3 linked regions of the Canis lupus familiaris genome follow. The protein of the gene in region 2 purifies or fractionates together with the protein of the main gene of each other region. This does not show direct contact. Links are inferred from orthologs where the notes say so. Each region holds a gene or a part of one and is shown on either strand. Other genes may lie near its edges.

Region 1 (2,506 bases), on a different chromosome or scaffold from region 2:
TTATTTATTTATTTTTATTTATTTTTTATTGGTGTTCAATTTACCAACATACAGAATAACCCCCAGTGCCCGTCACCCATTCACTCCCACCCCCCTGCCCTCCTCCCCTTCTACCACCCCTAGTTCGTTTCCCAGAGTTAGCAGTCTTTATGTTCTGTCTCCCTTTCTGATATTTCCCACACATTTCTTCTCCCTTCCCTTATATTCCCTTTCACTATTATTTATATTCCCCACATGAATGAGAACATATAATGTTTGTCCTTCTCCGACTAACTTACTTCACTCAGCCATAAAAAATATTTAAAAGCACTACTTGTAGTTATCCCTAGTCATCATCTCAATGTTATTGGGACTCAGATCACCATCTTATAGTTCAATATCCCAATCTTCTTCTTTTTTTAAAAAAGATTCCAATAAATAAATAAATAAATTAATTAATTAATTAAAAAAAAGATTCCATTCATTTATTCATGAGAGACACAGGAAGAGAGAGGCAGAGACACAGGCTGAGGGAGAAGCAGGCTCCATGCAGGGAGCCTGATGAGGGACTCGATCCCAGGTCTCCAGGATCACACCCTGGGCCGAAGGCAGGTGCTAAACTGCTGAGCCACCCAGGGATCCCCAATATCCCTATTTTCTTAGATGTTCCCTTGAGGAAGGGGATCTGCATGTCTTAGAGGTGCTGGACTAGTGCCCTGTGAGTTTCTTGGAACTCTGAAAGTCTATAATCTCTACCAACTCCTCAGTTACTGCCTTTCATGATATGTTTAACTAATCAGGAAAGGGACAAGGAGCATAGACTGCAGGAGCCAGACAGACTAGTGTATTAATTTTCTGTAGCTGGGTAACAAATAACCATACACTTAGTGGCTTGAACACATACTCATTATCTCACGGTTTCTGTGGGCAGGCATTTAGGGATGGCCAAGCTTGGTGCTATGCTACAGGGCCACACAAGATTGTAATGAAGGTGTCAGCCAGGACAGAGTTCTCATCTGCAGGAGCCAATTCTACATAGGGACTATAATAACTTGGATGTGTAGATTTATGTATTTCATCAAATTTGGAAAGATCTGCTCACTATGTTTTCAAATATTCTTTCTGCCCCTTTCTCTTTCTTCTCTTATTCTGCAGCTCCAATCAGGTGTATGTAGGTACACAGGAAGGCATCCCATACATTTTTGTTTGTTTCTTAAGTTTCTCAAAGAGTGATCCTTAAGCCAGAAGCATTGACACCACCTCAGAAGTTGTTAGAAATATAAATTCTGGGGCACCTGGGTGGCTCAGTCAGTTGAGCATCTGATTCTTGGTTTTGGTTCAGGTCATGTTCTTGCAATCATGAAATTAAGTAAGCCCTGTGTTGGGGCTCCATGCTCAGTGGGGAGTCTGCTTTAGATTCTTTCTCCCTCTCCCTCCCACTCATGTGTTCTCTCTCTCTCAAATAAATAAATAAACAAATAAACAAATAAATAAATAAATCCTAAAAAAAAAAAAGAAATGTAAATTCTTAGGCCTTGTTGCAGATGTATTAAAGAAACTCTGGGGTCCGCTTCCACCATGGCGTACCGTGGCCAGGGCCAGAAAGTGCAGAAGGTGATGGTTCAGCCCATCAACCTCATCTTCAGATACTTGCAAAATAGATCTCGGATTCAGGTGTGGCTTTATGAGCAAATAAACATGCGGATAGAGGGCTGTATCATTGGTTTTGATGAGTACATGAGCCTTGTATTAGACGATGCCAAAGAGATTCATTCTAAAACAAAGTCAAGAAAACAACTGGGTCGGATCATGCTAAAAGGAGATAATATTACCCTGCTCCAAAGTGTCTCCAACTAGAATGAATGATCAGTGAAGTGAGAAATTCTTGAGAAGGCCACGTAGTTTGTTTTTTTAGATGTCCTTTGTTGGGAATATAGTTCTAAAACCCTTGTTCATATTGTTTTGATTACCTTTATGTTCTTACCAGAGGACAATAAATGCTGTGGGATTGTTTTTATTAAAAAAAAAAAAAAAAGAAAAAAAAAGAAACTCTGGGGATGAGGCCCAACAATCTGTGTGTGTGTGTGTGTGTGTGTGTGTGTACGTGCATGCGTGCATGTGTGTGTGTTTTAATTGAAGTTGATACACAATGTTATAGTAGTTTTAGGTGTACAACATAGTATTTGACAAGTCTACATATTATGCTATACTTACCGAAAGTGTAACTACCATCTGCCACCACACAACCCAATTACAATATCATTGATTGTATTCCCTACCCTGTACTTTTCATTCCCTTGACTTATTCATTCCATAACAAGAAGTCTGTACTTCTTACTCCCTTTTACCCATTTTGCCCATCCCCCTAAACCCCCTTTGACAACCACCAGTTTGTTCTCTGTATCTATGAGTCTGTTTCTGTTTTGTTTGTTCCTTCATTTTGTTTTTTTAGTTCCACACATAAGTGAAATCATATAGTATTTGTCTTTTTCTGTCTGAGTTGTTTCGTTCAGCATAATACCCTCTA
Region 2 (3,653 bases):
GTGATGCTTTTCTCGTGATTAGACACTGGGATTATGGGTTTTGGTGAGGAGGAACACAGAGATAAAGTGCCATTTTCATCACATTGTAATTATGGCACATACTGTCAACATGATTTATGATAGTTAATGTTGACCTTGATCATCTTAGCAAGGAATTGTCAGGTTTCTCTACTGTAAAGTTACTCTCCGCCCCTCCTGTCTATACTGTACTCTTTGGAAGGAAGTCATTATGTGCATTATGCTCCACTTCCTTGAGAGGAGAGTATCTTCATAAGTTATTCTTCCATCTGGGACATTTGTCTGTTCTCCCTCCCTCCGTTCTTCCCTCATTCATTTATTCAGTCATTAGTCATTTGTATCAGTATGGACTTGTGAGTATTTATTTATATTTTGTATCCAATACTGCTTTATTTTATTGTTCTAATTGTTTCAGCTTTGGCCAACTCTAATTCTTTGAGTTGGCTTCTGTGCCCCTTGATATATCTACCTCCTTGTTTTTGAGCACTTCCTTACTTCCTGGCACTACAAGATGCTCCAGGTTCATTTCATATGCCTCATTCCTAGAATCAGTCATTTCTCTTAGGAGTACTAGGTTCTTTTACTGGAGGGTGGCATTAGAAATCAGGGTCTCGGGGATGCTTGGCTAGCTCAGTTGGTAGAGCCTCCCTCCCTCCTTCCCTCCCTCTGAGAGGGTGGGGAGGGGTAGAGGGGGAGAGAGAATCTTAAGCAGGTTCCATGCCGAGTGGAGCCTGACTTGGGGCTTGATCTCACAACACTGAGATCATGACCTGAGCTAGAATCAAGAGTTCAATGCTTACCTGACTGAGCCACTCAGGTGCCCCAGAGCATGTGACTCTTAATCTTGGGGTCTTGAGTTCAAGCCCCATTTTAGGTGTGAAGCCTACTTAAAAAAAGAAAATCAAGATCTGGCTTTAAAGTGTGTGTCTACCCCCCCCCCCCCCCCCCCCACATTTTCTTTTTTTATTCCAGCTACCATGGTTTTGGAATACAGAGACCATATCAACAACAGCAGCCTGTTCCAAATAGTGATGCTGTCTTGAATTGCCCTGCCTGCATGACCACACTATGTCTTGATTGCCAAAGGTAATGGATAAAGGGTGTCATAGCACACCACAAACACACATACACACACATGCATACACAAAATGATGAAAAACAACTTGGTTTTTTGTTTAAATCAGAAATAGACTTTTGAGGTATATACTTAGGAATTCTGATAAAGTTCTGTCCTCCTGTGTCCTTGCTGCTACATAACTAATCTTTATACAAATAATTTTAGTTATACATAGTTCTTTTTTTTTTTTTTTTTTAGTTATACATAGTTCTAAGTAGTTTTTCCTTTTTCTTTTTCTTTTCATTTTTTTTTTTTTTTTTTTTTTAAAGATTTTATTTATTTGCTCATGAGAGTCACAGAGAGGCAGAGACACAGGCAGAGGGAGAAGCAGGCTCCATGCAGAGAGCCCGATGTGGGACCAGATCCTGGAACTCCGGGATCAGGACCTGAGCCGAAGGCAGACGCTCAACTACTGAGCCACCCAGGCATCTCATAAGTAGTTTTTCTAATAAAGCACATACTTAAAAGGATTCAGTGAAACTGCATATATATTGTGGAATGATGTAATCTGTCAAATACATTCTTTTTTAAAAAATTGTGATAAAACATAAAATTTACTGTTTTAACCATTGAAAACTTTTTATTAAAGAGTACATCATTTGGGTATTAAATTTATTGTCAACTAGACCATTTAAAAATTTAAAATCATTTCCTAGCTTTATCGAGATATAATTGACACATAACATTATGTAAGTTTGAAGTGTACAACATGATGATTTGATATACAAATATATTGCTAAATGATTACATAAGGTTAATGCATCCATCACCTCATGTATTTTCCTTTTTTTGTTTGTTGAGAACTCTTAAAATTAGTTTTTTTTAGCAACTTCAAGTATATAGTACAAGATTGTTAACTGTAGACATTGTGTTTATTACATCCTCAGACCTTCATCTTATAATTGGAAGTTTGTACCACTTGACAGTCTTCACTTGTCCACCCTTCCCCCACTAACCACCAGTCTACTTTGTTTCTTACTGTTCATTTTTTTTTTTGGATTTATATACAAGTGAGATCATTCAGTAATTTTTTGTCTATGACTTCATTTAGCTTAGTGCCCTCGAGGTTCATTCATGTTTTCACAAATGACAGGATTTTCTTTCTTTTTTTTTGTATTCCATTGTATCTATACACCATGTTTTCTTTATCCATTCACGTAGCATGTACACTTAGTTTCCATGTTTGGCTATTATGAATAAAGCTGCAGTAGGTTTTTGGGGAGAAGACCACAGAGGTAAAGTGTTGTTTTCATTACATTGTATCAAGGGCATGGACTATCAACAACAACAAAAATCAACAGATTTAAAAAATTAAAAAAAAAAAAAAAAAAAAAAAAAAAAAAAGGGATCCCTGGGTGGCGCAGCGGTTTGGCGCCTGCCTTTGGCCCAGGGCGCGATCCTGGAGACCCAGGATCGAATCCCACATCAGGCTCCCAGTGCATGGAGCCTGCTTCTCCCTCTGCCTGTGTCTCTGCCTCTCTCTCTCTCTCTCTGTGACTATCATAAATAAATAAAAATTAAAAAAAAAAAAAAAAAAAAAAACAGATTTATTAACTGTTAATGTTGACCTTGATCACCTGGCTGATGTCGTGGTGCAGATATTTCTTCGAGAGAGTGATTTCATTTCCTTCAGTTATATACCCAGAAGTGGGATTGCTGAATCATATGGTAGTTCTATTTTTAATATTTTGAGGCGCCTCCATACTGTTTTCCATAGTCACTATACCAATTTACATTCCCACCAGTAATGTGCAAGTGTTCACTTTTGTTTTGTCTTTTTGGTAGCCATTCTAACAGGTGTGAGGTAATACCTCACTACAGTTTTTATTTACGTTTCCCTGATGATTAAGGATGATGAACACCTTTTCATGTACCTGCTGGCCATTTGCATATCTTTTTTGGAAAAATGTCTGTTCAGGTTCTTTGCCTTTGCCTTTTTTTTTTCTTTGCTATTGAGTTGTATGAGTTTCTTGGATATTAGCCCCTTGTTAAATACATGATTTGCAAATATTTTCTTCCATTCCGTAGGTTTCTATTTCCTTTTGTTGATGGTTTCTTTGCTATGCTGAAGCTTTTTAGCTTGTTGGTTTTTTTTCTATTTCTGTGAAAAATGCCATTGGAATTTTGATAAAATTGCATTGACAATAGATGACTTTGGATAGTATGGACTTTTTTTCTTTTTTAAGATTTTATTTATTCATGGGAGAGAGAGGCAGAGACATAGAGGGAGAAGCAGGTTCCCTGTAGGGAGCCTGTTGCAGGACTCGATCCCAGGACCCTGGGATCACTTGTGAGCCCTTAGCCGAAGGCAGACACTCAACTGCTGAGCCATCCAGGTGTCTCACTATGGACTAATTGACTATTTATTTTTTAAAAGATTTTATTTATTTATTCTTGAGAGACACAGAGAGAAGCAGAGACATAGACAGAGGGAGAATCAGGTTCCTCACAGGGAGCCCAGTGTGGGGCTCGATCCCCACACCGGGATCATGCCCTGAGCCAAAGTCAGATGCTCAAC
Region 3 (3,753 bases), on a different chromosome or scaffold from region 2:
CAAATGAGAGAACCGGGTGTTGGGTGTACAGCATGGCAGACAATGGCCCGAGGCGCAGGATCTACACAAACACACACACACAAAGTCTAAGCAACACCCAAAACCTTTACTGTGGCCCCACAGGCATGTGGTGGGCCAGGGTCTTTGCTGTCCACTGGCAAGCTGTCTGCTTCAGAGACCACTATCCCGAGCCCTAGCCCAGGCTGCTGGCGCCTCACACTGGCAGACCGCTGGCTCCCTTTCCAGGGCGGGGGGCCCCAAGCTCCACTCCACTCCAAGTGGCCAGTGACCCCGGCTGCCCTCCTCCACCGCATGGTCAGGAAACGCCAGCCAGGCAGTCTCTTCTCTCAAATCTCTGCACCTGGGGCCTCAGGTGTGTTGTTCTTGTTCCGGAAATGGTCCCTGCTCCGCTTCCTGCTACCATGGAAGCCAACAGTCTCCACCACTGGGGGCCCCACCGCTGACCTAGCATGGGCAGCCCCCTGTGGCACGTCCACTTCCTGTAGCCCCCCGTGGGGGCTGTTCTCTTCCTCAGCCTCTGGGCTCCCAGGCCCTGCCAGGTGGGCCAGCTCCACAGGGCCCTCGCCCCCTGCTGCTCCCAGGTCCCCAGGGGCACCCCTGCCTGACTCTCCTGCCTTCCTCAGGGCCCTCTTCCTCTCAGGCCTGGCCTCGCCAGCTCGGGCCGGTTTGGTGAAGATGACTCTTCCCTCCCCACAGCTGGAGGGATCCTGGTTGAAGGACGGCATGTAGTCTCTGGGGCCAGCCAGGCTCTGGGAGCTCAGGAAGGCCAGGGCGGCAGCCTGATTGCTCTGCTCACTGACCTCGGCTACGTTTTCCAGGCTGTACTTGGTCCAGCGCTCAGGGTGGGCCATGTAGTCAGGGATGGGGGGCAACTTCGTGGGGGCAGGGCTCTGACTGGCCCTGCCCGGGCCCTCTCCTGGACGCTGGTGTGAGGATGCTGGTGGCTGCATGAAATCCCCATGGTCACCCGGGTCTTGCCTGGCTGCGTCCTCCAGGCAGTCAAAGATGTTGCGGCTGCGCCAGGAGAAGGTGGAGCTCGTGCCTCTCAGGTGGAAGGGCTGTACTGAGGCTGTGGGGAGGCCTTTTGGAGGCAAAGGGGTCTCATCGGGGTCTGAGTCCCCCTGGGCCTCCCCAGATAGCACCCCCGGGGGCAGAGCTTCCATCTCAGTACCGCCAGGCAAGCTGAAATCGGAGTCCGAGTCACTGAGAGAGACGGTGTCGGAAGGCAGAGCGTCATCCTCTGTTCCTCGCTCGGCTTCCAGGGGCTCTCCTACCCCTACCTCAGACATGTGTCCCAGGGCCACCACACCTAGACCAGAACAGCCCAAAGAGTTCGTTTCTGAGGATTGCACCCATTTAGGACGGGCCCCTCCTATAAACCCACAGTCCCTGGGCAGGCGGCAGGGCCAGAAGGAAGAGCTATGTCCTACCAAACAAAGGACAGAGATTCCCACACCCGCCCCCCCCTCAACGTCTCACCTCCGTTGTCTGATGAACGTCTGTGCAGACACCAGAATTCTGGTGGGTGAAGTCCCGGCAAAGGCGCCCGGTGGCCTCAGTCCCGGCTCCGCTTAGCTGCTCAACTGTAGCGGGCAGAAGGTGGGAAGGGCAAATCGTCAGGGAGCACCAGGGCAAAGCGGTACCGCGACCCCCAGGGGGCGGTCCTGGGTTTCCGGGGCCCAGGCCCAGGCCGGCCTGGACGCAGACCCTTCGGGAAGATCTTCATTCAGCCCTCTTGAGCTAAGTCTAGGGGCCCGCTGGGGGTTAGGCAGGCAGCAGCCAGGGCCCAGCCCGGGGGCAGCAGCAGGCTCTGCGCTCCACGACGGCGCTCGACCAGGCGGCCCGTCCACGAGCTGCTCGGCACAGCTGCGCCACCTGCCTGGGCAAGGCAAGGGCTGCCCCTGCCTGCCCAGACGCCCCGGGACTCCACGCGGGTCTGCAGCCGGGGCCTCCGCGTCTGACCGTCAGGCCCGCGGGGAAGTGGGGGGTCAGCGGCCGCCCGGGGCATCCTTGCGGGCAGGGCAAGCCCGCGGCTCCGGCAGCAGCCTCTCCTGGCACGTCCCCGCGAGGGAAGGAGCTCCGGAGGGCGGGGCGCCGCCGCGACCTGGGGGGGCGGCCGGGCCGGCGGGCGCCCCGGGGTCGGGCACAGCGCCCCGCGACAGCGAGCGGCCGCGGCGGCTCCCGGGCTTCTCCGCGGAGGCCGGCGGCTCGGCCGGGGCAGGGCTGGGGCGCGCTCGGCCGCCCGTGGAAGCCGGCGCCGGCTGTCTCCGCCCCGGCGGGGGCCTGGCCGCACGCGGGCCGCGGCTCACCAGGCTCGGGGAGCCACCAAAGACGCGAAACACCTCGGGGATGTGGGGCGAGGAGGCTGCGAAAAGGCGACCTCTCTCCCGCGCCACAAGCCTACCGGCTCAAAGCCGCCGGGCCGCCTCCATCTTTCGCCGCGCTCGGCCTCCTGGGAAACCGAGTCTTCCGCCGGCCCGGCGCCTCGGCGTCCGCACCTGAAGAACTACACCTCCCACAAGGCACCGGGACGCTACTCCCGAGGCCTGTCGGGTCCCGTAGCCCCTGCGCATGCGTCCTCGCTTTTCTCCCTAGCCTCCCCCCTCCCCGGAAACGTCGGCTCTCCTTCGCGCAAAGAGCCGGAATTGAGGAGGGAAAGGAGGAGGAGGAAGAGGCAGCACTGCGACTCCCAGAATGCTCCAGGACTAACGGCCAGCGCCGCGTTCCCGGGGCCCCAGCGCCGCCTGCTGGAAGTCGCGAGCACAGCGGCCGCCTCAGGCCGGAAGTGCATCGTCGCACGCGGCATCGTCGCCGGGTGCTTCCGGTCAGGCCGGAAGTGCGGGCCGCCCGCTCGTGGGTCGGGGGAGGGGGAGGGGGAGGGGGTGGGGGGGGGCCGGGTTCCGTCTGAGCGCTCGGCTCGCGGTCCCGACGGCCCGGCCGGTGCTGCCCACCTGACGGCCGGTCTGGCCGCGTCTCTCGGGGCCGCGGTCCTGGAGTGCTCGGGAAGCCCGCGGACCCCTCGTTTCCGGGGCCGCCCAGCATGGCCTGCGGCAGCACCGGGCAGCTAGGTCGGGATGCCCCAGCCCCCCAGCCCCGCCTGCAGCTGCAGTGTGCCGCTGTGCGAGGATGCCCCAGGGACCCCGCCCTCCTGGGGGCCCCCCAGCCCCGCCAGCAGCTGCAGTGTGCAGCTGTGCGAGGGCGCCCCAGGGACCCGCCCTCCTGGGGGCGCCCCAGCCTCACCTGCAGCTGCAGTGTGCCGCTGTGCCAGGGCGCCCCAGGGACCCGCCCTCCTGGGGGCCCCCCAGCCCCGCCTGCAGCTGCAGTGTGCCACTGTGTGAGGATGCCCCAGGGACCTGCCCTCCTGGGGGCCCCCCAGCCCCGCCTGCAGCTGCAGTGTGCTGCTGTGCGAGGGCGCCCCAGGGACCCGCCCTCCTGGGGGCCCCCCAGCCCCACCTGCAGCTGCAGTGTGCTGCTGTGTGAGGATGCCCCAGGGACCTGCCCTCCTGGGGGCCCCCCAGCCCCCCAGCCCCGCCTGCAGCTGCAGTGTGCCGCTGTGCGAGGGCGCCCCAGGGAACCGCCCTCCTGGGGGCGCCCCCAGTCTCGGTCTCCCCAGCACAGACTGGCTGTGCTGTGCCTGCAGGCCAGGATCCCCAGGGTCGTGCAGGGGCAAGTAAGCAGGGCTGCTCCTTGGGCCACTCTGTTCTCTCAGGGACCCACCCTGGCACACAAGGT

Evidence for each region.
Region 1: the proteins of E2F-associated phosphoprotein (region 2) and small nuclear ribonucleoprotein E-like purify together in Homo sapiens (affinity purification with mass spectrometry; 3 studies listed by BioGRID and IntAct, counting the BioPlex papers as one, with this or other methods). This does not show direct contact. The link is inferred for Canis lupus familiaris from reciprocal best matches to the Homo sapiens genes EAPP and SNRPE.
Region 3: the proteins of E2F-associated phosphoprotein (region 2) and TSSC4 purify together in Homo sapiens (affinity purification with mass spectrometry; 3 studies listed by BioGRID and IntAct, counting the BioPlex papers as one, with this or other methods). This does not show direct contact. The link is inferred for Canis lupus familiaris from reciprocal best matches to the Homo sapiens genes EAPP and TSSC4.

What each region holds. Positions count from the first base shown.
Region 1 is NC_049222.1:93,812,907-93,815,412, forward strand, and holds small nuclear ribonucleoprotein E-like, read left to right. Parts: upstream 1-1,538; 5' UTR 1,539-1,557; coding exon 1,558-1,836; 3' UTR 1,837-1,998; downstream 1,999-2,506. UniProt on the Homo sapiens protein: Plays a role in pre-mRNA splicing as a core component of the spliceosomal U1, U2, U4 and U5 small nuclear ribonucleoproteins (snRNPs), the building blocks of the spliceosome.
Region 2 is NC_049229.1:13,544,211-13,547,863, reverse strand, and holds part of E2F-associated phosphoprotein, read left to right. Parts: intron 1-990; coding exon 991-1,104; intron 1,105-3,653. UniProt on the Homo sapiens protein: May play an important role in the fine-tuning of both major E2F1 activities, the regulation of the cell-cycle and the induction of apoptosis. Promotes S-phase entry, and inhibits p14(ARP) expression.
Region 3 is NC_049239.1:46,929,768-46,933,520, reverse strand, and holds TSSC4 (protein TSSC4), read right to left. Parts: upstream 2,619-3,753; 5' UTR 2,331-2,618; intron 1,605-2,330; 5' UTR 1,501-1,604; intron 1,331-1,500; 5' UTR 1,311-1,330; coding exon 348-1,310; 3' UTR 86-347; downstream 1-85. UniProt on the Homo sapiens protein: Protein associated with the U5 snRNP, during its maturation and its post-splicing recycling and which is required for spliceosomal tri-snRNP complex assembly in the nucleus.